Linked DNA regions of Oreochromis niloticus. The main gene of each other region encodes a partner of the protein of the gene in region 2 in a complex. Links are inferred from orthologs where the notes say so. Each region holds a gene or a part of one and is shown on either strand. Other genes may lie near its edges. The genes, in order: ppp4r4, ppp4r1l, smek1 and ppp4r3b.

Evidence for each region.
Region 1: ppp4r1l (region 2) and ppp4r4 share a complex: the UniProt entries of both Homo sapiens proteins name them as parts of the PP4 complex. The link is inferred for Oreochromis niloticus from reciprocal best matches to the Homo sapiens genes PPP4R1 and PPP4R4.
Region 3: ppp4r1l (region 2) and smek1 share a complex: the UniProt entries of both Homo sapiens proteins name them as parts of the PP4 complex. The link is inferred for Oreochromis niloticus from reciprocal best matches to the Homo sapiens genes PPP4R1 and PPP4R3A.
Region 4: ppp4r1l (region 2) and ppp4r3b share a complex: the UniProt entries of both Homo sapiens proteins name them as parts of the PP4 complex. The link is inferred for Oreochromis niloticus from reciprocal best matches to the Homo sapiens genes PPP4R1 and PPP4R3B.

The regions. Positions count from the first base shown.
Region 1 is NC_031980.2:26,953,478-26,960,611, reverse strand, and holds the start of ppp4r4 (serine/threonine-protein phosphatase 4 regulatory subunit 4), read right to left. Parts: upstream 3,003-7,134; 5' UTR 2,088-3,002; coding exon 1,980-2,087; intron 1-1,979. Other genes in the region: ankyrin repeat and SOCS box protein 2, read left to right, coding at 4,323-4,603, 5,000-5,169. UniProt on the Homo sapiens protein: Putative regulatory subunit of serine/threonine-protein phosphatase 4.
Region 2 is NC_031970.2:8,136,114-8,143,851, reverse strand, and holds the start of ppp4r1l (serine/threonine-protein phosphatase 4 regulatory subunit 1), read left to right. Parts: upstream 1-4,733; 5' UTR 4,734-4,863; coding exon 4,864-4,870; intron 4,871-7,713; coding exon 7,714-7,738. Other genes in the region: rab22a (ras-related protein Rab-22A), read right to left, coding at 1,644-1,725, 2,554-2,633, 4,257-4,292. UniProt on the Homo sapiens protein: Regulatory subunit of serine/threonine-protein phosphatase 4. May play a role in regulation of cell division in renal glomeruli. The PPP4C-PPP4R1 PP4 complex may play a role in dephosphorylation and regulation of HDAC3.
Region 3 is NC_031980.2:12,515,453-12,523,202, reverse strand, and holds the start of smek1 (serine/threonine-protein phosphatase 4 regulatory subunit 3), read right to left. Parts: upstream 3,003-7,750; 5' UTR 2,011-3,002; coding exon 1,869-2,010; intron 1,689-1,868; coding exon 1,633-1,688; intron 1,542-1,632; coding exon 1,443-1,541; intron 1,295-1,442; coding exon 677-1,294; intron 1-676. Other genes in the region: erh (enhancer of rudimentary homolog), read right to left, coding at 4,454-4,562, 4,660-4,780, 6,112-6,199, 6,641-6,643. UniProt on the Homo sapiens protein: Regulatory subunit of serine/threonine-protein phosphatase 4. May regulate the activity of PPP4C at centrosomal microtubule organizing centers.
Region 4 is NC_031978.2:10,560,839-10,568,857, reverse strand, and holds the start of ppp4r3b (serine/threonine-protein phosphatase 4 regulatory subunit 3B), read right to left. Parts: upstream 3,016-8,019; 5' UTR 2,726-3,015; coding exon 2,584-2,725; intron 2,052-2,583; coding exon 1,996-2,051; intron 1-1,995. Other genes in the region: pnpt1 (polyribonucleotide nucleotidyltransferase 1, mitochondrial), read right to left, coding at 5,484-5,639, 5,719-5,766, 5,856-5,934, 6,075-6,130, 6,559-6,665, 6,816-6,899, 7,000-7,083, 7,170-7,233 and 2 more. UniProt on the Homo sapiens protein: Regulatory subunit of serine/threonine-protein phosphatase 4 (PP4). May regulate the activity of PPP4C at centrosomal microtubule organizing centers.

The DNA.
Region 1 (7,134 bases), on a different chromosome or scaffold from region 2:
ACAACAACTTAATCCGTAACACCCCTAGACCAAAGAACTGATCACTGATTTCAGGAGGAGGAAGTCCAACCTGCAGCACATCTACGTCAATAGAGTGGATGGAGAGGGTGTCCAGCTTCAAGCTCTTGAATGTGTATATCAGAATCAGAATCAGAATGCTTTATTAATTCTGATTCTGATATGGACACAGACCTCCAATGGAGCTCAAACACCTTGGAAATTGTGAAGAAGGCCTTTGAGGGTGTGGTGATGTATTGCATCTCTGTGTAGTTCTTGAGCCGCAGCATGGCACACAAGAAGGCATATTTATAATTGAGCTATTTGTATATATTAGAGCTATTTCTTATATTATGTAAACTTTGGATTATATAGTATTATTTACTATCTGTTACTGTTATTGTCTTGGATCAACTGTAACCCACACAATTTCCTTATTAAAGTATTCTGATTAAAAAGGGTTGCTAACATGGCCTAGAAAATCACTGAAGGACCGCTGTAACATCCGCTGTCTCAAAAAGGCACGCAACATCTTGCAGGACTGCACAAACCCAGGACACCAGGTGTTTAAGCGTCTGCCCTCTGGCAGTTATCTTGTGTATACGGTATTTATTTATTATTTTTTTGCTTGTCTCCATCATCACTGATCCCACCTGACCTGAAGTAAACATGACTCCTAAAGCCTCTAATACAACAAAGGACATTACTAATGATTACTAATGATCACTGATTATACAGAACCTTACACACACTTTGATCTGCTCATATAGATCAGGGGTGGGGAACTCCAGCCCTCAAGAGCCGGTGACCTGCAGGTTTTAGATCTCACCCTGGGTCAGCACACCTGAATCAAATGATTAGTTCATTACAAGGCCTCTGGAGAACTTCAAGACATGTTGAGGAGGTTATTAGCCATTTAAATCGGCTGTGTTGGATCAAGGACACATCTAAAACCTGCAGGACGCCAGCCCTTGAGGCCTGGAGTTTCCCCACCCCTGATATAGATCATAATCTTGAGCTCATACAGCGTTATGCATTCATGGAGCAACAACTCAACCGGAAGTAGTTTTATTCCAGCTGTGTAATGTTCAGATCTCAGCTGTGAGTTTAACAGCTATAAAAACTATAAATATATCAACGGGTTATGGATGAAACCACATAATTTCCTTAGGGATTATTAAAATATTCTAATCCTGAAATGGAAAATGCAGCTATGATGAATGTTCTCATGATCTGCTTCACTTTGTTTAATATGTTGACTGTTTTCATGAACGATCAGATGCTATGAATTAAGATTTGGCTTTTTCTCCTCCCTTTCATAAAGGATGCTCCAGTGTCTCCTCTGCTAAAGGAAGCAATAAAGGAAGCACTGAAGCTCCTTTCCTTAGTGTTTGGAGAAATGGAACAGCTCTTGTTATGGGCGCAACACAGATAATTCCAGGTTACGTCTGTCAATGAGGAACTGTCCTGAGCGTTTGCACGTGCAGGAAGGTCATGAGAGGACACGGAGAAGCTCACCTGAGGTCTGACTGACCACTGTCACCCATAACAACACATACACATGCACACAGTGTAGGTGTGTTTGTCGTCATCGCATCAGCTTTCTCCCGTAAGAACACCCAAGCTCCGCCTCCCCCCCCATTGTCATCATGGTGAAACCCCGCCCACACAGCTACAGGTGTAAGAACCAGGCAGCGCGTTTCTTTTCAGTTACTGATCAGTCATGATTAGCGACTGTCTTAAATTAGATCAGAGACAGCTTCACTCTGTTTCTCATGATTACTGATTAATCGACCAGTTATTGGCCGTTTTTCTCGGTGCACCTCAGACCTATCTGTCTCTCTGCAGACAGACAGGCGGACTAACTGCGTCATGCTGCGGGTCTCCCTTCTGCTTCTTCCACTGAGACTGCTGATCTTCCTCCCACTAACTCACCCTCCTCCTCATCACTTTACGTCTCTCTCTCTCACACACACACCCACCTTCAGGCTCCTACGGATCGGCCTCTCGATGAAGGCGAGTTCCTGCAGCTCCTCCAGCGGGCCGCACAGCACGCCAGCTGGGCTCAGGGCCATCCTGCCGGGTAACATCTGGCTGCTAGAGGGGGAGCAGTCGTATCAGCTCCGACCATCCCTGTTGAGGGGGCGGGGGTTGCGGATCTGTCACTAACCGTTTCCAAGGAGATCCCTGCTCGAGCTGAACGTCACTCCAGACTCCGTTCAAAAGTCTGACAAAGTCTCACGAATGCGCTCATTTGCACACGATGAGGGCTATCAGAGATCCCAAACAAAACCCGTCCACACACTCACGGCACGATCTGCGGTTCGGCGCTCACAGAACTGCGATTCCTCCAGAAAAATCCCCCCTAACATCCCAAACCGTCACACCGTTACCGGGATGTGTCACACGTTTCCAAGCAGATCAAGTGCAGCGCAGAGAAGCCGCAGCCAGACTGCATGTAAAAAGCTCCAGTTAACTCTTTTATTCCCCGAGGACTCTTCATTCACACCACCCTCAGTCCAAAACTCCGCACACGAAATTTATTCGGAGTAAATCTAAAGACTGAATGTAGGAAACCGCACAAACCGGGCGCGGGATGAATCAGATGGACCCCCTCTCTGGTTCGGCGCACATCTCCAAATATTCTGACGAAGTCCAGATCTTCTCCACCTGCTTCAGCTCAGGGTTGCGGTGGGAGCGTCACGCAGAACTGCGGCTGCGCTCCTCCGTGCTCCTTTGAGTCCGTCATCCTCGACAGTGCACAACCGAACCGAATCGCCCACTCTGTTGGTCTGTCATACGCAGACTGGTACCGGGCAGCGTCAAAGCTCAGAGACGGTATGAGGCTGATTTTCACACCAAAGGACGAAGAGGAGGAGGCTTCATCACCGTGAGTGACACGTGGGCAGCAGAGCGGGCTGAGCCAACCTAAACGGAGTCATGAGGCTGCAAGCCCGACCTGAACCGGGACCGGGAGATGAGCTGCAGGGTGTTAAGCTGGAGACGCAGTGCAGCAGCTGATCCGTCTCCATGGAAACGGCTGTCCGTGCTCATTCATAAAGTCCAGAACGTGTCTTCGATCCAGAACCCGCTCTCATTCTGAGCTGTCCCATCACCTGTAAACGCACCTGAAAGTTCAATAACCATCAAATAAAACTATCCACGTCACGTGCTTCAGATCCGCACTCATTTGTTTTATTTTGCAGGGTCAGGTGTTTCACTTTCTGCATTCAGGTTTTTCGTCTTTTTTCTGAAATGTTTTTTTTTTTTCACGTGAACATGAAGCTCACAGCTTATGTGATGAATGCCTCACCTGTCAAGCTCTGAGATTGTTTCCTGCTCTGTGTTCAATCACCATTTTAGGCCAGGTAATCACAGGTTAGCCCTGTTGGCCCTTTGTTAGATGCTAAGAGGTTTCTGAATGACCTGTAGTTGGGACAGAGCAGGCAGGTGAGCCACTTAAGTTACACTTACTGTCATACCGAGACAAAAACACATAATGCAAACAGATGGGGACAGGTGAGACCAGACAGACAGGAGGAGAAGGAGGAGGAGGAGAAGGAGGACAGGGGCTGACCTTCAGCTGCAGTCTCAGTGTCAGAGTTGGCTGACGATCCGGCTCATGAAAGCTCAGAGTTGATCAGACCTTCGGACTCTGAACCAGGACCTTCTGCTGCAGACCAGAGAGTGCTGCTTCCTGATTGGATTGTTTCACAGGTAGTACCCAATCAACAGTTTGTTTTATTTTATTTTTATATGTTTGAATATGGGGAACTTCAAACCACACTTGAATCCACTTTAATGTTGTTTTGTTTTTATCATCAAATTTAGATTTAAATCAAACAGTCAGTTCTGTGTTTACCAATTTTTAAATGATTCTGATTTAGAATTAATTTAGGTTAAATTTGTGTGTTTGAAATCATTGAATTTAAATCTGTGAGATGGGTTAGTAGTTGAGTCTTTCAAATTTTATCAGGCTGCTGTTGACCGACCGGGTTTAAAGGATTGATAACACAAATCAGTTAGTAGTTTTCTGGGCTGTTGTGAGCCTGGTTATGTGCATCGATCCTGTTTCCATCTGTGTTGTTGGTGGAGGCTGTTTTTCGGGTGCAGGACAGTAGATATTGCTGACACCAGCTCTCACAGTGTTTGAATTTTTGGCTTCAGCTTGGAGGAAACAAACACCGCTGACCCACAGTCTTGACATCATTCAGCAGCAGCTGAGGCCAAAACGCCATCACCTTGGATGACCCACTGCTGTCCACACGCTGCTGGCGTTAACGAGAAACACAGACAGCAAACCGTTTCCTGTTCCTCTGTCTGACATGGCAGTCTCTGAGCAGAACCTGGATGACTACAGCATCTACAGTCACCTGGCAGATGAGGAGCTGCTGCAGATCGCTGTCGAGAGAAGCTTGTCTGATAAACAGGCTTCATCATCATCATCATCAGGCCCAATCCAAACAAACCCTAACCCCACACACAGAGGTCCTGACCCCTCCAAAAGGGTGCAAACGGTTTCTGCACCTGAACCTGTCCCCCACATCCAAAACTGTATAAACCCTCCCACAGCCCTGTCACAGTTTCTCTACAAGGTCTACAAGAGGTGAGTCAGTTCGGAATGAAATGGAGCTCAGAGGATGGAAACATCCGCAAACATCAGAAAGCAGCAAGAGATCAATAGACATTTCAGAGTGAGTGTCAGACAGTCTGGAGATGGTTGCAGGGTGTGTGTGTGTGTGTGTGTGTGTGTGTGTGTGTGTGTGTGTGTGTGTGTGAGGAGGTGGGAGGGCTTGTTTCTGACTTGTGGTTCTAACTCTGTGTTAGTTCTTGCTCTGTGCTTGTGACTCTGTCGTTCTACTCTTGTTCTGTGTTTGTTCTGACTATCTGTTGGTTCTGTTATCGTGGTTTTGACTCTGTGTTGATTCCAGCGCAGCGGCTCTGTGTTGGATCTGACTCTGGTTCCAAGTCTGTCGTTCTGAAGGTTTGTGTGTTCCCTCAGAGAGGTCAGTCCGTTACAGTCCATCATCATGAGTGGGGATGCAGAGGCTCTGATGGAATTGGTCCGGAGGCGGTTAAGCAGCCTTATGGAGCCAAATGATGAAGGCTGGATCGCTCTTCATGAAGCTGCTTATTATGGACAGCTGCAGTGCATTAGGATCCTGGTCAGAGGTCAGGACACCTACTGCTTTCTGCTTCTCATTAAGCCTCTAACAACGCTACTTACCTTACTTCAGGAGTTAAAGGTGATCTTAATCACCAATAAAGCTTTACTTTGTGTTTTATGTGAAGGTTGATTTGTCATCTGTATTTCACATTAAAAAAACTTCTGCTTGAACAAAAGCTTGAGCTACGGTTGGGCAAACCCTCCAGTTTTATGTCTGTAACATGACATCTGACTTCAGATGTTTCCTCTTCAGATTTTCAGCTTCATTCACCTGCTTATGTTTTTATATCCACACTGTTCATTCATGATGGAAAAATGTGCTGATATGCAACAAAATGTTAGGCTCCTTTATTAATTTACTCTAAGGGTGACATGATCATAAGCTTCTGGGAAATCCAGATTTTTGTGTCCTGTACATGGACCCATTTTAATTGTACATGTAGTTAAAATGGTTAACTTGTTATATATAGTAAGATAGTAAAAATAAAAGAGTGAGTATATTAACATTAAAATAGCAAATATACAAGTTAAATACACATAAATACAGTTCTGCCAAAAAGGGCTCTTGCTGGTAGGTAGCAGCAGCCCTTGAGTGTGGGTGTTATTGTATATTGTGCCATGTCATGCTGGTGTTTTGCACTATGATGTAATGTTAAATTTGGCAACATTGTGTGAACATTGTACTGAATATTAACTGGACTATTGCAGGTTGAGGGTTGGTAAGTGAGGCTCACTAGGTCCATTCACTAGGCTTAGTGTTCAATGTTCTGATGGCCCAGGAAAAAAAGCTATTTTTCAGCCTGGCTGTAATGCCTTTTAAACACTGCTACCTCCTACCAGAGGGCATGAGGTGCTGTCCAAGGTGGGACAAGTCAGCGTCGATCTTCTCCTTTTCTCTCCTGAAACGCCAAGTGCTGGCTATGTCCTCTTGAGAGGGTAAGGGATAGCTAATGATCTTTTGTGCTGTCTTAATGACTCTCTGCAGGTTCTTCTTGTCCGCTACTGAGCAATTAACATACGAAACTGTGATTCAGTAGGTGAGGACACTCTCTATGGTGCTGTGGTAAAAAGCTACCATTAGTTTCTTATCCAGATGGTTTCTCCTCAGCATCCTAAGGAAGTGGAGTCTTTGTTGTAGTTTGTCAGCCAGGATTCCTGGAATGATCGTATTGGCAGAGTTCTTTTTAAAAAAATAACTCAGCCCTTATGTAAATACTAGGCCTCATAGGTGTTTATCCAATCAGTTTTCAGGAATCCCTACCAGCTTAACATTCTTACTTAAATATGGTCACTTTTTACTTAAAGAAAAAAACAAAACAAAACCCGCAAACCAATGAGTGAGGTCAGAGAGGCTATGCCTGTTATATAGTCAATGGTTTTTCACCACATTTGCTCAGTGATCAGTTGATGTGAGATCTGACCTCTAAACCACAAGACAGACTCTTATGTTGTGGTTAATCACTTCAGGAGAGGTCATGTGGAGGTCAGTGATGCTTCAGCTTCAAGTGTCATAATAGGACAGGATGCTTACATTAAACCATTTGACTAAACTTGCTGAGAAATTAAAGACATCTGTAGACCTTGTTTGTCAGGGCTCTGCGTGCGGGCAGGCGGAGAGGAGGATCCAAGCGCAGGACTCAGACACTAACTTGAAACTCAAAAACCTCAGCTTTATTGCTGGTACGAAAACAAAACATGAAGTGAACACACAGGCACGATCTGATGGTACGACACGACACCGAGCACGGGAAAACACAGGGCTTATATACACAGGGTAGTAATGAGGGAATGGACAACAGGAGGGCGACACAGCTGGGAGAGATCAGGGCTAACGAGACGGGGGGAACCAAGCTGCACACACTAACATAAGACAAAGACTTTCACAATAAAACAGGAAACATGAATTACTAAACAAGAACGCAGACTTGACACTGAGAGACAGAAAACACATGGAACTCAAACAATACATG
Region 2 (7,738 bases):
CAGAAAACAGCCCCAGTGATGCCCAGTGAGTACTGATTAATTGCAGAAACCACAAGCTGGGTGTGTAATGAAAGGCACCCTCCTATTCCGGTAGGACGTATGCTCCCTTTTGCTTGTTTTCTGTAAGAAGGAGCAGTCCTCCAGGGGGAGGCCTGGATGGGCTGTTGACAGCTGGGCTCAGATGTGCTCGTAAGGCCTCATCTGGTCTTGAGATATGGGTTTTGCTTGTGGAAATCACTGAGCTTTCCTTTCTGCCCTAGTCTCTCCTTTCACATGCATTGGCTGGCTTTGTGTTCCTCTTTCTCAACTCCACAGATTTCAATAGGCCAAAGCTCCATGGAGGTTAGAAAACAAGCCATGAAAAGCCTCCAAATACCACAACAGTCTTGTAGGGAAAAAAAACACGCAGACACATGCGAAACCTACCAAAGGAATGTTGCTACTTTTTCAGTCGCAGATGTGAGGCACTTGGAAGACCGAGAGGCCACATGGGCATGAAAAAGTGAACAAAAATGCGAGGAAAAAAAACAACCCAGAAGAAAATTAAATAAAATGTTGCACAGATGAAAGCAAAGGAGAAAAAAAAAAGAGGACATGATGACGTAGAGTGGCACTGGCTCAAAGATAAGATACAGCAGCAGCGCATGCCAGTGAGCTCAGAAAGCTTGAGTTTTATCCTCTTGTCTGATCTTAAATTGGCTTCCTGAATGTCCCTGAAGTCCACAAAAAAAAACAGAAGCCTCCCGGGGGAAGGGGGAATAAAACACAAGCAGCATCTTATCTCACCTCTCCAGAGAATGCAGCACCAGGGGTACCACAATACAATAGAAAAGACTTACGCATGAGAAAAGGAGAAGGCTGTGAGCATAAAAAGGGAAGTGGCGTGGATATCTAATGCAGAGAAAGGTTGGCTATAGCGTGAGTCAAGCGAAAGCAGTTCCTTATGCTACAAGTGCCTGACAACTGGTGTCGATTTCACTGGCTTAAATGAAAACACCAAAATACACCTTGTCTCCTATATCACATATCATTCGCAAAGTGTGATTCGAGTTCTGACCATTGCATGGGTGGCAAAATATTTCATAATGTATATTTACAAACAAACAGCAGAGCAGATCAGATAAGAAGAGCTGCATCGGCATATAAACTGCTGACAAACAACACTTTGGAGAAGTGTGAAAGCATAAAATAACATAAAACAATGCCACTGGTTCCCTTTTTTGTTTGTCTCCAAAAAACTAACACAATGACGAGAAGGAGAAAGGAGGAAGGGAGAGAGATCAAAGGCGACAAAAGGAAAAAATGTATCTTTTTTATGTGACTTCACTCACTAAATTAAAATTTGGAAAAGGAACTCTTAGAACAAGAGTGCTAAAAGAAGTTGATTATAAGTGAACTGGCAGAACTCTGCCTATAGTAAGGTAAATATTGCCCCCTATCAGAAGTTATGACTAACTGCAGTATTCAGTTTTCTTATGGTTGGGTTAAGGAATGATGCATGTACGTGTAGGCAATTCTTTCACATCCTTTCAAAGAACACGGTGGGGATAAGTAGACTGTTCAATACTACAAACAGGTTGATGGTATAGTAAAAACTATTCACTGAAACTGTTACGGTTAATACCTCAGCAGATAATACTAACCCGCTCCTGTCCTGCCGTGTCCCAGATCAGGAATTTGTGCAGCTCATTTTGGTATTGCACTGTTTTGGTCATGAAGGATGCACTGGTGAAGAGAAACATGACACACTGCAGATTTAAAATAAACAATTGCAGATTTTTTTTTCTGTTTAACATTAAACTGTATTCTAGCAATAAAAAGCTGATTTACATCACATCAATCTGAGCCAGCTCAGAATTGGATTCTTTAAGTCTGACAGCAAAACTAACATTTGGTCTCAATTGCAAAACTGGAGATTTCAAAAACAAAATTTAATAACAACCCCTCTGCCAATAATCATCAGATATTTCAAAGTGCCAAAAATAAGTGTGTGGAGCAGCTGTTTGTATCTAGTATTTATTATTTCTTCTCTTCTTAAAAAGCATGCTGACAAAAACGTTTAAAAAAATACTAAAAATTCCTGCCACCACATATCAAACTTGAGTTTTAAAGATGTTTATGTTACTTGAGTTCAAGCAAGAAAAAATTGACTTTATTTTGTACAATGTTATTATATACAAAAACTCATTTATTCATCCTATGAAAGGCTAAATGTCAAAACTGCACAGTTCAGTTGTAAAGCTGTTTTCTTAGTTCCTTGTTTGAAAATGTCAGAAAGCAAATATTGTTCATAATTCGTTAAAAATTTGTTGGACGAAAAAGGCTGAAACACCAAAGTTACTTAGTTTAGCCACAGACAAAGAACACAAGAAAGTCCAGATATTTTGAAATCTGGAGCAAACAAGTTATTTAAGAAGTGATTTTCATGCCCATTTTTTTGCCAGTGGTTAATTGATAACTCTAATGGGCATTATAACGACCTGTAAAACTACAACAAATGAGAGAGATGGAAAAAATAAAACTTCTGTGGAAGTGGAAGGCAGCAGAACATACCCAATAGTTGGATTAATGTTTGGGTCAAAGCTGTCCTCCACAAATCTCCAAACAATACTCGACTTTCCAACTCCAGTATCCTGCAGAGACAAAATAAAGATCATGCTTACTAAACATGGTACTTGAAGAATATGAGAACAATCTTTGGCAATATGCCTGGACATTAAAACATTTTTATGGGATCCTTTTCCTTCCTGGCACTGCTGGTATAAATCTGTAAATTACTTATGGAAGAGGAAAAAGGGTTTACATTGTTTACATTAGGAGAAAAAGAAGAGGACAAGTCTGACCTAAGCGTTATCACGAGATGCTCCCACAGACAATGGTGGTTTATGCTGCTGCTATAGCAGTCTAGACATGGATGTTTTGTTTGTGTGGTCCATCAGTTAACCATTTATTCAGTAACATATCTTGTTTTAACTAATTTAATTATCTTAAAGATGACCAAAATGATGCATAATCAGGGTTGTCACAATTCTTTTCCAGTCTGCTAGTTAATGAACTGACTTATTGTCTCTATGCTATCTTAATCTTATTAGTAGATCTACAGAAAATGAATGGCTAATCATCCTGTTTTGTTGTGTGTCTTTTTTTTCCAATTTAAATATGCATTAAGTAAATGAGCCTGATTTGTAAAGAAATGCTGCAGGAATGACAAGTAATGCTGTCTAACATAGTTACAGATGTGTGTTGAAATGAAGGGACAAAAAGCATCATCATAAAATGTTTTGGTAAGCTGCCAAATAAAGCAGCAGAGCAGCTTCACCGCACCACGAATTTGAGTCACGGAAACTCTACTAAAGGTGCACACGCCACTTTTATGTAAGCTGTTCAGTGATGGTGTTGGAAGGCCTGTCTGACAAGTCAGCACAAAATGTGATATGAAAGATGACTGTCAGTGTCATAGCAGACATTGTTTTCATGCTGGTCATTCCATTCAGAGAGCCCTCATGGCCTATGGACGACAGCACTGTTTCCTGTTAGAAACTACCGTCAGTGTAGAAATGTTTCATGGCAGGGTAGAGGTGACCACACCATGCAAAGGATGTCGCTAAATACAAACCAGCAAAGTCTTCCTGCTATCAAAATAGAGCCACTGTAGGGGCTAATAGTGAGATTTTGCAGGTTATCACAACTTTAGTGTATGAATGTACACATAGTTTCCTAGAGGCCAATGTGACGACGCCAAATGTCTTGTTTTTGTCCAAAAGAGATCAGAACTTAAAGATATTAAATTTACATTGACACTAATGATTGAGATTTACCTGATCTATTCTTAAAATAGCAGCAGGCTGACTATTTTCTAATTTGAGTAATAGTGACTAATAGTGACACTAATAGCTTGATTAATATTGTCAACGCTGATGTAATCCTGTAAGTGGATGACAGAGAAGAGAAGATGTGAGGATGTTCCTCCAGCAGTGGATAATACAATTTGAATGGGACGTTGATCAAGTGATTGATGCCTTGTGCAGCTGCTGAGTGCAATTCAATGTAGATAAGCATGAGTGCTGTCACTGGCGCAGATCTATTTATTTATTTTGAGGTTGTATTGCCACTCACTATATCAGAAATTTTCACCACGGTCCATTAGAGAAGTATAGGTATGTGTTATGTGGAAGTAGAGTAGGACAGCTCCATTAATGCTCCAGTTAAAGTGTGCATATGTACAATCAGATTGAAAAATATCAATGCTTACTCACCCCCAAGAGGCAGACTTTTAACTCTCTCAGAGCCATATCGATCTCCTCTCTCACATCGAATTTGAGATGAAGATCATTGACTGTTTTCTCCTCTGCTTGCCTTTTTTTTTTAAATCTTGAATATTCTTCAGGTGGTCTTTGTTTACAAGCAACTTTACAACATCGTGGTCTGAAGCTGGCATACGCACATCTTAGGTCGGGTAACAACTCTCGCTGTAAACGTTAAAACGTCCCGCAGGTCGTCGTATTTGCCATGTTGTGATTATTGTAAACAGCTACCTCCACCACATCGCTGAGTCTCCATCTTGAACTACGGCATGTGGTCACGTGACTGCTTCGGCTTTTTTTTTCTTCCTTTCTTCTTTTTTTTCTTTTGGAGATACACAAAGCCCTCCCCACAGGCGCTATTTTAATCTCACTTATGTCGATTTTTTGCCCGTGATGAGTAACGATTTTCGGTATAGTTGTTTAATACGTAATTAACCAGTGAAAAGCAGCATCAGGAAGTACTTTCAGGAAGTAGTTAGCCTCAGTGTTTGAGTGACAGCTGTGCGGCGGTGACAGCCCACACGGGACGGCAGCCCGCAGAGCCGAGCCGACGCTCAAGATGGCAGGTAATGGCACTTTTTAACCCGTGTTTTCTTAAATATTTTGGCGCTGTGCTGGCACTCCTAAAGCGTTTTGGGGCAGTTGAGGTTTGTAGTAGTTAAATAGCGGCTTCTACTCCACTTCCTGTGTAGTACTGCCCGGCGAAGTAGGAGAGAAGTCAAGCGAAAGGGCTGGACAAGCCATGTTAGCAAACTTAGCAGCATCTAGCAAGCTAAGCTAACCAAAGCTCCTTATGGGCTATCGAAATGGGTGACTTTGGGACTACACTGAATCATATATTTGCTCAGTACATGTAGATTATTTTTTAGTCTCTTCAGACCTCGGTGGGAGAATACTATGACCGTGTTTATTATCGATCTGTTATCATAGCAAACGCGAGCGAGTTGACCTAGCCAACGTTAGCCGAGTTGCTAAAGTCATGTTCAGCCATAAGCTGACCAAATCCTGCTTTACATCACAACAAAGGCGCGATGTTGTTCTGTGCCAGCGTGGTTTTTCGGGGTGTTGTTATATATGTTATGCCGTTGATTATTCTACTCATGAAACGCCTCGTTTAATGTGTGATTTCGAGGTAGGCACTGTATTATATTTAGAGCACATTCCCTTGCTTGCCCAGCTGTAAACACTGGCTTCTCCTCTTGGGACTTATTTCTGGTCTCTTCCGTTGACTACAACCCCCCCATCTGCTATTGTCCTATATCGAGGGCTGGGTGGTATTGAAAATAAACAGTGAGAGAAGGTCTTCTTGTGCTAGATAACGTGATTACTCACACATTTGTTTTTGAAAATGTGCTAATTTGTAAAAAGGGGGAAAAGAACTTTAAATGGATTTAGCATAGGGCTGTAAATATAATTTTAAGCCATCTAGATTATTTTTATTGACTTAGTACTTCCTACGATTAAACGAATAAATCCCAACCAATATAGAATTCGACTTTTATCAAAAAATAAATAAATCTGATAATTACCTGTTCATAGTTCATATATATGGTAGATCCGAAGATATTTACATATGTTAAGGAACGAATATATAAATTAAACTGAATTCAATTGATCAGCTTAGGTCTTGCAGGTTGGAGAGGCATTGAGGCAAGACTGATGGTTTGGACATGTAGAGGAGGGGATGGTGAATATGCTAGATAAAGGAAGTTAAAGATGGATCTGCGAGGCAGGGGGGGAAGAAGACCACAGACAAGCTACATGAATGTAGTGAAGGAGGACATGTATGATTGATGTGAAAGAAGGCTGGTTAGAGATAGTGTGAGATGAAGACAGATGGTGTGCTGTGGCGACCCATAATGGGTATATATATATATATATATATATATATATATATATATATATATATATATATATATATATATATATATATCTCATAAATATAGTTTTTACATTGCATTTTGCAAACTACTTGGCAATTTATCATGACTACGTCATTTGACTCTGCTACATTTGATGCGGAAAGTGCTGAGCTGAGCCAACAGCATAGCTGCTGTGCTGGAGAAACTGTTATGACAGCAATTCTGAATTATTGAGCCGTGTTTTTATATCAGCACATATCAGACAATACAAGTGCAGACCAGTATGATGCATATGAGACGGGCGACATGCCGATCTGGCCTTATTCAAGATGTTTGGCATTATTCAATGAGTTGCTTGAAACTTCTGATATGGAGCCAGTGGAAAAAATAAAAATAAATAAATTTCACCTTGAATGGCGTGATAGTGTAAAGTTTAACCTGGAAATTGAATTTTCCATCAACTAACTCTGCAGTCATTAATCATGACCATGTTATGGCTTTTTGCAACATGAAACACAAACAAAAAGTGTGTTCAGTGCTGTGGTTGGCTGCAATTGAATGCACAATGAGGGGTGGATTTATTGTATTAGGTACATCAAGCTAAAAAGAATGCAGTCCAATACAACCTTATATGTTTTGTCATAATCAAGAATTTAATGTTCAGTTTAACACAAACTGTCTGGAGAATGAAGGCCCTCATGTTATGCTATATGCATTGTAATAGATGTTTGTTTTGTTGAATGCATTTTCATCAGCGAGGATTGTCAGAAAAACAAATGCATTAGCATTTAATAGAGAGCAGTTTAATAGCACCAAACTGACAATTGAATGATCTCACATCATGATAATAACCTGCATTTTTCTTCTCTGCTTTTATTGATGTGCAGTTGACCATTGCATCTTATTAACTAAAGAAAACTGTGCAATGAAGCAAAAAAAATGAAATTCTAAATTATTCTTGATCAAGAAAATTGGGGGTGGATATCAGTTTATTGTTTCTTTAATTGATTCTGCTTCCTGTTCAATTTAATTTGTTTGGAGAAAAAAGTAGGCCTAGACAAGTTTTCACTGTTAAACCAGCTTTTATTATTATTACCTCTTTATCTGCTTGACCATGTTGATGGCCAAAAAAAAGGGGTTTTATTAAAAAAAAGGCTTGCACAAGATTAAAATGTGTGAAAGCCCCAATTGCCAATTTGTGGTCATTGTTTTTGCCAACACTGATGAATGCTATTTTGATGAATTGCACAGTTTGGTACCGGTTTTTAACTGGAGTCAGATCTCAGCTCCCTTCGCTAATCACTGTGATAAGTATTGATTGGATTTGCTTCTCCTCCAGGCCACAGCAGTGACAATATCACTTGAATGCATTAAGTTTCGCTTTCACCGAGTGATGACATTAGGGAGACCACTGTGATTTATTGCTCGGAGACTTTGCCCCCCTTAGTAATTGACTTACTGTAAATGTGCCATTCAGACCACGGTGTCAATAAGAGTTGGTTCTTCCGCCATGGATCCCTACCTCACTAACTGCCTTGTTATTGCAGGTCTATCTTTATACTTTGAAGATGG
Region 3 (7,750 bases), on a different chromosome or scaffold from region 2:
CAGAAAACAAAAGTGAATTCCATCATGTTTGTCAATGAGAAATTTGGAGCATAAACAATGTGACCTATCTGGTCATAAGAATACTTTTGATTTGTTTATGCTGAAAACACTGTCTCATTCAATGACATCTACTACCACTTTAAATATTTTTTAAAACCTTGGTTAGTGAACCGCTTGATTTAAGCTTGCCTGCCCTATGCTAATTAAGGAAGGAAAGACTCATATCTGTAGTGTTTGACTTCAGAGCGTGATATAGCAAAGAACACCAGAGTCAACAATGTGCCCGTTTCAGTTTTCCTCTAGCGCAGCATAACAGATTTACACAACACTACTGTGCCTCCATGGAGACAGCCATACATAAACAATGCTGAGTTGACACAGGATAAAAACACAAAGGTCACATGATCATAAAAGGCTGCCAGACAATCTCAGACAGGGTAAAAGTACAATCAGTCAAAAATAAAACCAATGTACAATCCTATAATTACTGTAATTCGAGCCTCACTAACATTTCATAAAAGAAATTCTCCTTTGTGAGGATTACAGTACATTCACAAGTTTACCTATTTATAACACTTGCTTCAATTAAACCATTTTAATTAAAATGTAGTGTTTACACAAAGTAAAAACAACAACTCCATACTATTAGATCATACTACATGTCTGCTTATCTCACCTGTAGCATGCCCACAATCTCCACCTTGTTGAAAAAGATGAAGGAGTGCAAGGTGGACAGCATGTTTTCCTCAAAAACAGAGGGCGTGGGCAGCACCATATCCTGAATATACTGCACCCGATATGTCTGGTGAATTTTCTGACGCAGTTCAGGATCAGAGATGGGGATCACCTCCTTAAACCGGGCTGTTTTAGTGAGAAACTCACGATGCCGCCTTGGCTGCGGGAGTGTTGGGTCAAACTCCAGGCAACCAATGACGTCCATTATGCACTCATCAGAGAACATCACCTCAAAGAGTGCAGTACGATTCAGCAGGAAGATGCCTTTCATTATTTCATACAGGTGGTGCAGTCCCTCTCTGTTCTCCAAATCCTCACAAACACGGAACAATTCCAGGAGCTTGCGAATATAGCCTTCATTCTCCACAGCCAGTGCTAGTTTTTCACGTCGCAGTGGTGATGGGAGAGAAGAGCCCACCAGCTCGGCCAGGTCCTCCAAACGGTTCAGTTCGCATGGCGGTAATTCCAAACCTGGGGATGACATGTCATCAAAACGCTCCTCCTCCGATTCGTCCACCACATCCTGTGTGATGTCAACTGAAGGGTCCTTTCCCTGCACCTTAACAATAAAACATAAGTGTGGACAAACATATTAGAACCTCAGGATGTAACTACATAAGGGATCACCGGTAACACAAATAGCATCAAATCCACAAACTAATGGAGATAAAAAAAAACTCAAACCCACACAAATGAAGTACACTAACCTGGCATATTTTCTCCCAGATTTCATCACAGCCAGCCTTCTCCTGGAAACTGAGTGCTAGATCATAATTTTCAGCCTCTGACCACACTATCAATGTGTCCTTTTCAAAAGAAAAACAAAGCCAATTTAAAATAAACAGCAGAATGGGGAAAAAAATTCAGTTTTGTATGTTCATCATGTTATGTACTGACCTGTTGTTTCTGGTAGGCTGTGTTTGGGTTAATTTTGGACTCCAGCAGAAGGGAACCTGTCAGGTTTAACACAAAGGTAGCCCAAAATTGTAGGTTACTGCATTTGCTTCAAACGAGTAATACATGTGCAAATTTCAGGTGATACAGGTGGTTAAAATTAGTGCGCGGAAGGTATTGTTTTTGTAGTAATAACTGAGCTACTACAATAATCGCGTGGCATTCCTATGTTCGCTTACCATCGCTCTCTGCTCGCACCAGGAGAGACGTGCCTTTCAAGCGCTCCACATAGCCCGACGAGACGTGCCCGGTCCCACGGTCATCCCACTGTCTGTCCTCATTGAGGGTATAGACTTTGACTCGCCGACGAGTGTCCGTCATCCTGGCAGTTTCTTGTAACCCGTTCTCCCCTTCCGGGCCTTTTACGGGGTGTCTTCTTCACCTAGTAACGCCACAACTTCAATTCACTTTTTACAGCTGCTCACTTCTACAAGAGTATTAACTAAATATGAAGCGGCGGGGGGTCACTTAGGATAAGTTCTAAAAAGCAACTTAAAAGTGGAACGCCTCAACAACTTTCCAGCAGGATTCCGCAATCGTTGTTAAAATTACTACTGCAATATCTCGCATTTCTTGACGAGCTGCCTCAAAACTTAGACTGCCAGCACTATAGGCAAGGCGCCACGCAGAATCCGCGTACAAACCATTGTAGGAAGCTAACGACAAATTAAAGAGCGGAGGACGTCGTTAGCTTACGCGTTAAACGACAAAACAACGAATGTCACTACAATATACAGCTGAGAACAGAGTACTGAAAAAGAAGCAAATGTTACGATGACTGGCCCACGAAACACTCCTGCTTATATGTACAGTTTGTACGCTTACAGGTAACGTTAGCTATCAACCCTTACGAGTTAACTCGCTAGCTAGTACGCTAAGTACCTACGCTCCATATATTCAATGTTAAACTACCATTTGAAGCAGATTAACTAGAGTTAGCTGTCGATAACATTACTTTATACTTGCGGACAACAGACACCCGTTTTAAGCCTGGAACAATGTTTCTATTCTTCTTTAAATAATACGCCAGCTAGCTAACGTTAGCTGCTATTTCTTCCCCAAGTGTTCCGCCATGTTCTGGCTCGGGGCCGCGGAGAGACCACTCTCTCCTTACTCTTACTCATGCATCCCAAAAACTGTGCAAACCAACAAACTGGAGTCGTATAATTACTTGAAGGTTACGCTTTACATTATACTGCTATTTGCCATTCATTGCCGATGTCTTGCTCAGATAATTGCTAAGTGCCCCCCGTGAGTATTCAGCCATCTTGGGTCCCTTCACAGTCAGTACGGGGTTTCCAGCACGGCAACAACAGGGCAGCCCGCCACATTTAAAGAGACAGTAACAGAGAAAATAAACTGAACTTGAGGCCACGTCCAGCATGAATGGTCTAACTTTTGCAATACTTAGCAGTCAGCCACACTATCATTGTGTATAAAAATTCAGTGTTCATCGCACTAATGGTCGCATATTTATGAGTGGACACCAGTCAGAAACAATCGTTTATTTTGTTTCAATAAAAGAAAACAGAAATGGAGAGTTGAAATCAGATGTTATGCAAAACAACAGGATTACAAAAACGTTTTATATCACAATGGTAGGCTTTTAAAACATAATGAAAACTCAAAACTTTCCATTAATTATAGTAACAAATCTCCTGGGTTGTCATGTGATCATCAGTCTTCAGCCACTGATCTACTTCAAAAATAAAACGGCTGCTTTCAAAGTCCACAACGTCTTGAAATTCAACCTCCCAGGAAAATGTACATAGGGAAAAAAATAAAATTCACATAACTTTTAAGGAAACTGAAAAACACACACAAAGAAAGTTTTTCTACCCCGCGGAGTATTTCTCCATGCTTAGCCCACAAAGTCCCATTCTTCTCATCATAGTGTAACAACTTATAAACATGCAGGTTCCCAACCATGACCCAATTTTTCAGTATAAAGCCCAAAATGTACAATTTCACCCCATTTTTTCCAAGCCTCTTTTGCCAATGAGCATGATGTGAAAACATTCCCTTTGTTAAATGGGCAATGCAGTCTTTACAAAGAAAAAAAAGAAAGAAGCCCTTTTCATACATGTAGTCCTTTTAAGCCATTTGATGGCACATGTCAGATTCATAATTAAATAACTAACCTTATTAGTTTTTTTAAATGTATTACTTTCAAAAGGTAATGAATACGAATGAATTCATGTATGGCAAATGTCCTGCGAGATCAATGACACTTTTGCCAGTATAGCCGTTGTCACACACAAACTTAAAATGTTGGAACAGGCATATCAGGACATTGTGTAAACTTTTCTTTCTCACACGTAACACAAAAGCAAGCCTTCCATGTGGTTTAGGCGAGGGAGCTGCATGATAGCAATATCCTATAGAAAAGACACAATATGACTACTAAGTTTCTATGCACATCACATGAATTTTGTTCCAGGCTGAAATCCATTTAATGTCCAATCCAACTGCATCACACCTTTGTGTTCTTACATGCACCTCTCTCAGGTAATGTCAAGAAAGACTTCAGGCTGCAGTGCACGTGTGAAAAGAGCTTACGTGTCTGAATGAAAAAAGTGCCGTCGCTTAAGCACAGTGGTGGAACCATGTCTGAAAAGGGCTTTGCATTACAAATTACAAACACACACACACGCTGCCAAGGATGACAATTCCAAAAAGAAAATCCCCAATTTTTTTTCACATCCCCCAATTTTTTCCAATCTCTCTTCCTCATGTTTGGTACAATATGAAAGAATCCCCCCTGTCAAACTGACTTAGCCGCTTGCTGAGCCTGACGCCGCAAGAGGACGTATATCTTCTCCTTTATCCAGTCTTTGTTGTATGGTTGATATGTTTGAGTGTCAGCTCTATATCTGCATAAAAAGTAAAATATTTTATTGAAATGTGACCAATGCATCCAAAGGGAATGTTGTGTTGCATTCAAATTCATAGACAGCTAATTATACTTACACAAGACAGCTCAGATCTGCCAAGTCATCAATAAAGTCAAACAACTGACTAATGTCATAAGTAATGGAGGGACTGTTTGGATTCATCCTCTTGAGATGCTCTTCATACATTTTGCAAACACCTGGGGGAGAGGCAGATGACATGCTGAATGGAAGCAAAACAGCAAAAACAACAACAAAAAAATGCAATCCACAGGAAAAGGCTAAAACAGCAAAAAACAAAAGTAATTCATAGCGAATTACGGTGTACAGTATTCAGTGAAAGAGAAAGACAGGATAAATAAAGAGGGCCTAATAAAGGGAATAAAGTGATATACTTATACCCTGAAAACAAACAAACCTTTTGCGTCACTTTGAACATGAAAATAAAGCCAAAAAAGCTTTTTAAAAAAAGAAAGGAAAAAAAAAGAAGTGCACAAACAGCAATAGCTGCATACCGTTAATGTCACATCCTTTACAGAGAAAATAAAGTTAAAATGATGAGAGGGCACATCACCTATACTTATTTTGTGTAATAGCCTGGGATATTTATATATCAGAGCGATCTGTATTTATTAGAGCCATTTTGAAACATCCTGTATTTAACTGGTACATTAATTTGTTATTTACTGTTCTTACTGTCTTAAAGCAACTGTGACCACATCATTTCCTCTGGGATTAATAAGGTAGTTTTAATCTGAAAAGTGTATACTGCAGTTCAAGACAGACAACACAATTGTAAACACCTCTTACTTATCATATCCCTTTAATGCCTTTATTATCTGTAAACCCCATTACTACGTAATGGATAACTTGAGTAAATTCATGTATTTTTATCACAGTCAGTTCTGAATATGATACCAATGATTATTCTTTGTGTAAGTGAACCTTGATTAATCTCTGTTCAATAGAGCTTAACTGCAGTTCAAAATCCATTAATGTAGAGCCGCAAACACACGACATTCAAAAACAGATTTAAAACCCTTTGTATTCTTTATTACATTTTGTTGTTGTTGTTTTTAAACTTTTATAGTAAGCACAAGTTTACAAGTTTTTTGTGCTATACAAGTAGGATGTTGACATAAAAAAAATGAATTTCAGGTTTCCTGAGTCCATAGTTTAAAGAGTCACATAATTTAAAAAAAACAAAAAAAACATGTCCGTTCTCACGTTCTCTTTTTTACTTTCCAGAAACTAAAAAGTGATTACTATCAGTCTGTTTTTTTCACAAATTAGGCTTAACCACATAATCCCATACACAAACAATACTTGGTACTAGGATGAATTTATTATTTACTGGCCTATCATTTGTATGTATTTACTATGAGAAAAATATCCCTTAAAATGAATGAGGAATCACAATAGATGATGAATACAATACAATTACATCTGCTGCTACTACTTGTTACAACGAAAGTAAATATTAAAAAAAACTGCGAGATGAATTATGAATGAAAACATTAAACAGACTCACCCTCCATGCATTCATTAACTGACTCATAGTCAGCGTATGTGCGGCCCTCTGGTCTCTTGGTTGGTTGGACAAGCAAAATTGTGTGCGACTGTAAAATGATTGATAATGTTTAATACACACCGCCACGCAGTTTCTCTGTGTCAAACCAAATCACCTTAATCGGGCAGCTAATTAGAGGTTTTTTTTGCGAGTTTTTGAAACTTGTGTAACCTTCTGCCCAGACATTTTCCAACTCCAGTGTAAGGATGGTCATTCAGCTGCAGACCACCGACTTCATCAGTCTTTTACAAAACATCCAGCCTAACGTTACTTCAGCCACATCTCACTTTAATAAAAATATGTAATTTGATTAGATGATGAAATTAAGTTATAAGAAACACAGAAGCGGTGGGCAAAAATGCGTGTTTAACAAGAATTGCAAAGCGTTAGCCTCGACGCTTGTTAGCTTAGCTGTGTGTGATTAGCACAAGCTAGTGTGGCCTAAACTGAGAATTATTAGCTCTTTAGATGTAAAATAAAGCACACTTACCATCTCTGTTTTCAACGCAAAGCCTCGCTATTTACTGGCTATGCAAAACTGAAAAAAATCGTATTCAGCGTAACTTCTCAGTACCCCGTGCGATTTAGCTGTTTGGTCTAAAAAAAAAACTTAGGGGAAGTGAAAAAGAACTCTTCCGGTTGTAAAATTGAGTCCCTCCAAAGTATAGTTTTGGCTTCAAAATAAAAGTCCGATAATGCTACGGTAATGATTAAAAGGTGGTTTTTTTCAGTAGACTTTGTTTGTGAAGGTACACATTATTTATTCTAAATTCTCTCTTTTAAATTATCATAGACATTGTAAAAAAAAATAGATCCAGGTTGAAAAGTGTAGTCAGCAGAGAAGCGATCTAAAGGTGCCTTACTTTTTAATGGCCAGCAGGGGCCGAGTGCTTTGTCAGCCCCTGCAAGTCTCCTGCATAAAAGACTTCTGGTTGTACAGAAGTTTGTGGGAAATAAATTAATAAATTACCTTCCTAATGAGTTTGTGAGCTCACTTGCTAATTATTTCATGTGTAAAAAAATGTAAATCTAAATTGTAGCAATTATAGTGTAGCTGTTTACCCATTCACATAACATAGAAAGATCTCTCATTCATCACTGAGAGGACACACAAATCTCTTCAGGTTTGCATCAGGAAAGACATCCAGCATACATTTGGAGCTAGCTGTTGTGGTGACCCCTTGTGAACTTGGGAGCACCTCAGAGTAGCTTTTACTATTATCCTGCTTGTGTATTGACATGTCAGTAATGATGTCCGACAAGAAATGAAGATGCAAATAAAGCATTTTTTTTTTTTCAAAATTACACCATAGCTGAACATTTATTAATTGGATATATGATTCAATTTGAGTAATTACAAAGAAATTAGTTTTGTTTTAATCCCGACTTACAGGGCAAAAAAGCATACAATGACATAGTGAAGATCACAAAAACAAACTGAAAGACAGTGAAATCAGGGCCAAGAGCTATAACATTTGTGATGGTAAAAATGTTTAAATGAAATATATAATGTGGTTAGTTTTTCTTTTCTTTTTTTTCTTTATTTGGGGTGTACACTATAGGCTGCATTTGTGTACCAAAATCACTTGATTTTCTTCAA
Region 4 (8,019 bases), on a different chromosome or scaffold from region 2:
CAAAGACAAAGGATTATTAAACTTTACACACTGACATGCTTAACTCTTTCACAGGAGGCACTTACAGACACACACACACTTATTCATTAAATTGTATGTTAACTGAACACATGCCTACAAATGTACACACACACACACAGGCAGCAAACGAAAATAAAAACGTCAACATTTAACTCCTGCAGACAGAGGATCTTGTGGCTCCGTTATGCCTTCTTGTATGTATTGCTGGCAGGATTTGGGTGCAAATCCTTGAAGTGTATCTGAGGGATAAAGCTTTCTATCCTGGTGGGAATGCACTCCTCTAGCATGACAGTGACTTATCCACAGAGTATGAAAATGGTTTGAACAAAAGTCTACAACAGACAAAGCAAGTTAAACACATGCAGAATATCTTTTTTGTACCTAGCTTCACCAAGGTGGTTATCAACTCTAAGTCAAACGAGCGTTTTCCGATCTAGCTATGACCACATTCACATGAAAGAGGCAGCAATGGCAGCATGACCAACCAGAAACATGAACCGGTCTATTAGCAGCTGAGGGGCATAGTTTATGAATACTATCATGCTATAAAATTAGCATTATATAACATGAAGTAGGTAAACAGATAATACAGACTCGCTGCAACACAACTGCTGCAGCCAAAACAACAGTGTCAGTCTGTGTGAGAAGAAAAGCACTGTGTAGTATTGTAGTATTGTTATATATGTCTTAAAGTAATAATGATTAAAGTATCAAAGTAAATAGTAAAGTGTGTACAAATTCTGATAATTTAAGGCAACAAACTTACTGTCAAAGATCTGGGAAGACCTCATTACTATATTACAATAAAAAGAAGCTAATCACATTTAGATTTGCTGCTTCTTTCACTCAATTTGAAATAGTCTAAGGGCAAGTAGAGACAAAATTTAACAAAATAAAATTTTTCAAACAGGTAAGCAGCCAACTTGCAAATGTTTCATGACGTCAGAAACGAAAAGGTTTAAATTCTCTGTTTTAGTATCATTTCAACGTATTACAGCCTACACAACAATAAAGTTGTTTTAATATTGTTTGCAGTCAACAGGAAAGAAGCAAGGAATAAAGTTGCCCCCAAGAATCTCTATTTCTTACCGATGCTGATCTGAGACAAACTTCAGATTCTCTTACTATCTGCACACTAAGCTCTAATTGATCTTCCATGCATTATTTCATAGAAATAATTGTTCCATGGGATCCAATTGATCTCTTGTCTCAAACATGACCCTTTCCTGAGGAGATTAGGTGTGGAGTGTAAATTACCAGAGTAATCTATTTCATAAGAAGTAAACCACCTCCAAAACACCGGAAATCCAGGAATAAACCTGAAGTTAGCCAGACTCGACCTTAATCATTAATAATGCTATAAATTTTTAGGTCATATAAAAGTGTCATATCACAATAACACTGATACATAAAAAAAAAACACAACAACAAAACACGCCTCAACATGTCTGAGAACAAGAGCTGCTGTCAGCCTCCAGTACCTAAAAAAAAGGAAGTTATTCAACCTTCAACAAAGAGCAGTAATTTTAAAGACATGCAAAAATATTTAGAAAAAGGTGGAAAATATTTTTCTTTATTTATGAGACAATATTGTGCAGCTCCTGAAGAGTTACAAGGTTAAGGTTAAGTTGAATTAGTTAAAGGTTTCATTAACTACAGCAGCTCACTGTTAAAGGAGGGTGGAAATTGTCTTTCAGACACTTACCTATAAATGCGGGAAGACTTCTTATTTATGCCATAATTCTAATGACACCTTAATTTACAAACAGGTGTGGCGCATGTGTGGTAATTACTCATGGCATTACCCGATTATTACTCGATACCAAGTTTACAATTGCATCAGTCAGCCAATTTCTACTGTCTCGCCTAGATTACAGTAACTATCCAGCAGCAGATCTCAAACCAGTGTTGGGATTATTGAAATGTGTGTGCTATCTGTAACTGAGCCAGACTCAGGTAATAATAAAAACTTACCTGTTGTTTCTGATATGCAGTATTAGGACTTATCTTCGATTCCAATAGCAGTGATCCTAAAGCACAGAGATATAGGTGACTAAATATTCAAGCCAGTTAGAAAACCGGTTCTTTAAAGACGAGGTTTGTTATTCTGTCTAGAAATAAACAGTTATGGCTATGCAAATACACACACAAAAAACAATCGAATTAAACTAAAATGCTCAAACACAAAGGTAAAATAACTACAACAGGCCTTGGGTTCTACTGTAATAACCTTATGTACTTTCTTTGTCACATACATGAACCACAAAGAGCAATAACAAGTTTATACGTTCAGACTTTCAGGGGCACCATGCTACCGAGATCCCGTCGGACCAAACTAATGAGCATGCTAGCAACAGCTATTCAATAAATATTTGCAATTTATTGAGAGACGTGCCTAATATTAACAGTTCTGGCACTATGACGGTGAAGTCTGCCCCACATGTAGAAAAAAAGTCTAATAAGGTAATCTGGTACCCACTGTGGGCAATCGAAGCGCTCTCTCCGAACAACCAGGAGTTAGCATGCTAACCACCGTAACAGCTATGCTAACAGGGAACTTACCGTCCGATTCAGCCCGAACTAATAACGATATCCCCCTCAGTCGTTCGACAAATGTAGACGAAACGTGCCCGGTACCCCGATCATCCCATTGCCGATCTTCATTCAGCGTATATACCTTCACTCGCCGCCGAGTGTCCGACATGGTTTAAACGAGTCGGAGCTAGCAGGCTAGCTTTCTGCTAACAAGCTATCACCTCACCCGTCTAGTGTTTTCCTCGACCTGTTAACTTTGTTTCCAACCGCATGTTATAAAACATGCATGTTTAAATTTAGTTCCCAACAGCAGCAAAATATATTAGTAGGTATTTCATAAACATATTACGACGTGAATCTACTTATTAAGGGGCCTAATATTAAACTGTAAAATTCTGAGAGAACACAACAACTCTAACGGCCTTCTTGCTAACGTCCACAGACCGCCATCTTGTAATCCGATCTTGTGTTCTTTTTCTTTTTCTACGTCAATCAAGCGCTAACTGCCGCGGGGTCTCCTCCCCCGGGCGGCATCGTCCAATGGCAGAACTGCGGCTCCCCCAGCTCACCGCGTCACCTACGGTGGAGATAGGTAATAGCACCCACAGTCGTTTGCAGATGTTGGCATGATGTACAGATGTGATTTGGTTCAGCTTGTTTAATTCATAGAGGAAGCAGATACTTACTTAACGCAGAAGATTAACAGAGTTTTTCACGTTAATTAATCACAATCATAACTGCCAATTTTTTTTTTTTACACAAACGAGGAATTTTTCTTGGAAAAAGCAACACTTCAAGCCATGATCTACAGAGAAAGAGAGAAAGGAATAAAATCTTAATGTTTTTTTTGGCATAAATTCCTAGACTTCTAGGAAAATATTCTTCAGACTAATGAGACAAAAGATTAACTTTTTGGTAAGTAAAACTATCATTTAATTAAAAGACTATCAAAGCAACAGTCAAACATGGTGACGGTAGTGTGATGGTCCGGGGCTGGTTTGCTGCTTTATGACTTGGAAAATGCAGCTGATGAAACCGTGAAGTCTGTCCTCTACCAGAAAATCATGAAGGAGAATGTCCAGCCATCTGAAATTTTAGCAGACTTGGGTTATGTGGCAAGACAATGATCCAAAACACCAAAACTTCACTCAATGTCACAAAAAAAACAAAAACAAAACAAAGGTTTGGAATTGGTCTATTCAAAGTTGGGACCTAAATTAGATGCATGACCTTAAACAGGCCGTTCATGTTCAAATAACTCCCAACATGACTGAATTAAAACTATTCTGCAGAGAAAGGTGAGCCACAGAGGATCATCTGCCTCCATCACAGTCCATCCTCCTGTCACACCAACCTTCCTCTGCATCCATGAATCTTCTCGGAGGTCATCCTCTTGTCCTCCTGTCTGGCAAGCTCCATCTTCAACATCCTTTGTCCAACATATCCACAAATTACCTCGACAGTCACTCCACCCTGCGTATACTGTCTTGTTCACTGTCCGTTGTTTTGGATGGTAGCCCCGAGGTATTTAAACTCATGCACATGTATTCTGTCTTGCTTCTACTGATTTTCATTCCTCCTCTCTCCAGCTCTGTAGGCCCTTCCTGATGCAACCCTACATATTAGGACTAAGACTTTTAGATTAAGGCTGAACAGAGAAACACTTAATTCTTCTGTAAGACTCCAAAGAGTTATTAGATCTTTCCCTGTCCAATATTATGCAATAAATTGTTTTAAATAAATGTTGAAATTTTACAGCTCTCCTGTTATCATCTCCACCATCCAGTTTCTTTTAAGGACCCACTGGATGAACCTTTCCTATTGTGAAGCAAATGTCTTTTTTAAAACATGCTGAAGCAGTACCTGTGTGCCTGCATGTGGCCACTGAAACATGCAATTAAATCAGCTTTTTATTAAGAAAATTTGACAAGCATGCACTCAGTACATTCTGGCATGGTTGGAAGGTGTTTTGTTGACTTAAAGACATGAATAAAGCAATCATTAATGACTTTATTTACATATTACGTCTCCATACTGCTACTCCTTTTAGATGCTGCCATAGTGGATCATCTGCCTTCAGCTCACCCTATCGCTTACATCCTTCTCTGCCACACGAGCTCTCTGCAGGTCCTCCTTCTCTACATTAATGAAGCTTCTCTTTTCCTCCTTTCTGGCAGCTCCATAATCCCGACACAGAAAGTCCCAACTCTCATTTCCAAACCTTTCCTTCTCTCCTGCTGCCTCCCTCTTTCCTCTTTCTTTGTCCTTGCACAGCAGTTTCCACCAGCACCCTGCTGGTCAACAGCACCATTGGTAGTCGTTCATTCTTGACGATCCACATATTTGATTTGAAGATTTTACATCGGATCCCCTTCCTGACCTATTTATCCATGGTTGGTAACAGCACTAGGAGTACACTGGCATGTGGCCCACCCGTGGCTGGTTATTTATTTACATTTTAGTTACTCACATATAATATAAATGCGACACCATATAAAGATTAAGAAAACACCTCTCTTTAACACGTCACCCACTTGCCTTTCTTTTCTTTAGTGGACACACTGCTACAGCACATACCAAATATGCCTCAAGAGGCAACATTATCACACACGTGAATGACAGAAGCACTGTTGTTGTGTAATGAAAGAAAAATCTTAAAACTTTGATACAGTCAAACAACAGAGCATGAAAATGGGTAGACACTTGTATTTTTGAAAATGTTTGCCTCCTCGTCTTATCCCTTTGTTTGTGCAAATTCTCCGAGGCATGATGTCAGCAGCATTTTTGCCACATCCATACTCTCAGCAGCGGAGTAACCTTCTTTATGTATAGTTCATAACAAGATCTGTTGTTTGAAAAGGGAAATTTGACTCAGTCCAAGTCTACTCTGACAGAAAAGCCAGAAGTTAGGCAGTCATGGGGGAGTGTCACGAATCTGTACTGGTCGTCTGCATGTCGCTTGAACCCATGGAGATGCTCTGTTTGTCATTCAGTCTCTTTACGACGCTTGCAGCAGTAGACTGGAGCACCTTCCGTGAAAGCCTCATTCTGCCATCTGTTGGGTCCCGTCCAAAATACTTGACCTGTTAGCAGAACACAGTTTAGATACAAGCATCCCAGACTGAAATTAGCAATGCCTTGTCTGCAGTAACCGAGACGCACCTGTATCTCCTGTCCCACCTCTAAACCCAAAGCACTTGGATGTTTGATCTAAAAGGAAAATAAAGGAAGTGACTTAAGTAAAAATTCTACCATCAGACTCAAAAGGAAAACCATTTTACGCAGACAAATTCACAAACCCGTTTGTGGTCCAGCTGCGAGTTGTGCAGCAGGACAGGAGTCATGTTGGGATAAAGTTTCACCATCACGCCAATGTCCCTAAAGCAGAGGAGCAGAAGAACAGATGAGCTGTATGAAGGCTGCAAGATTTTATTTATACATAAATCAGTTTCCAAGTGTGGGGAAATAACTGTAAACAAACACTGTTTGTTGGTAAATAACGCATTGTTTTAGTTTACCTTATTTCTGTGATGGTGGCAGTGTAGATAGCACCAAACTCCAGCTGCTGTTCTTGCTGCAAAACAAAGAAATACACCAATTTTCACCTACATACATTATGAATATGTGTAATATGTGTAAGCAGTTGTTCTTAATGTTTTGATTTGTTTATCCAGGTAATGTTTGCATTGTGGTATAAAACAGCAATTGAGTTTATAAATGTGCATAAAAGGGTGCAAAGAAACTATCAGAATATAGAAATATAGAAATATAAAACCTCTTTCCTTGTTTTATTAGAGCATGCTGAGAGCTTTCCTGTTTTTTTAAGTGTATTGATCAGGATTATTTCTCTTATTTCTTTGTTTAAATGCCATCTTGCTTAAGCTTTATACTATATTTCTCTTTTTTTAATTTGTTTCGGGTTCTCTGTAGAGCACATTTTAACACAATTTTTGAAAGGCTCTGAATAAAGACAGAAGGTAATTACAAGAGGGGGAGACTCACATCGTCTTTGCAGATCTCGCTGATGAAGTGTTGGGCTTCGTTCATGGCTCCTGGTGTTGGAGCGAACACGGAAAAAGTCTCCTCGTCTACCTGACTTATTGTCACACCTGAAACCAAAGAAGAAAATGTGGTGACGTTTTTATATTCTGGACAACAGTTTCTATTATGAAAAAACGAATCTGTGTGCTGCTGGATTAGCATCACGTCACCATCACATTCCAAGTTGCCTTTTTCAGACTTTATTACTTATGCATTACCTGTTTGAGCTTGAAGCCTGCGGAGGTTGTAGCCTCCAGGGCCAACAAAGCGAGCTCGCCTTGAGACAGGTACTCGAACATTTTCTGAAGACAGAAAACATCACATATTGGAACAGATGACATTAAAAACTTTCTATTAAATATTGCATATTTCTGTATACATACATATTCATGCATAACCTACCAACAACAGGTCCATTCTCTTTCCTGCTCTCTCTGGGTTTTGCTATGCATTTGTTCATAATGCCCAAGATTTCCCTCTTTGCCACTGAAACACAACAACAGGCAAATGCCACAAAAGAGCCATGCAAATAAAATTTTAATACAGGGTATATTTCTCAGTTTTGGGCCTACCTGTGGCCTGTTGGATTGCCTCCATGACCACCTTCAGTGGCAACCCAGGAATCTTCACATCAGCCTGGAGGTAAAATAAAGAAAAATTAGTAGCTATCATTGGTTTACTGTTAATACATTTCATCTTTATCAGAAAGACATTAATGTTTCGCTTGTGTCCACCACACAGTCCGTTAAGCAGAGCAACACTTTCACTAAGAAGAATCCTGCTTAACTTGGCGTTACAGAGACAAATTAATGTTGTCTTATAATAAAAAGATAATAAAATAAAGCTCTAACACTATATTGGTCTCTTCTTTAATATTTTACACATCAAGTACAGTTTATAGTAAAACATTTCTATGAAAAAGTGATGTCCCTTCAGTTAGCTTTATTAATTTTCCTTCTAAAAAGATCTTTTTTAGACACTTATTACAAGCTACTCAATGCAGTACCTGTAAAGCAGTGATACCCTTGTTTGTTCCCGCCAGTTTGAAGTCCATATCTCCCAGGTAATCCTCTATTCCCTGTTTACAAAACAGTTATAAGCTCATATTCAACATCTGTCATACTCAGGAACATCTGTTATAACCTTTTGAGCATTCAACTAAAATCTCTCTTCCACTGTTTAGTGATAATAACTGATCACAAACAAGCAACGACGGTACTGGACATACCAGAATATCTGTTAATAGTCTGTAGTCTTCTATCTCAGCAGGTTTTTCTGGGTTAGCCCTGGAGATGAGACCAATGGCTACACCTGCCACAGCAGAAGAGATGGGCACACCTGGCAACACAGATTTAGATATATCAGTTAAACATCATTATATAACATATTTTCTGACTAGCATCGTATCCAGACAAATTTCAT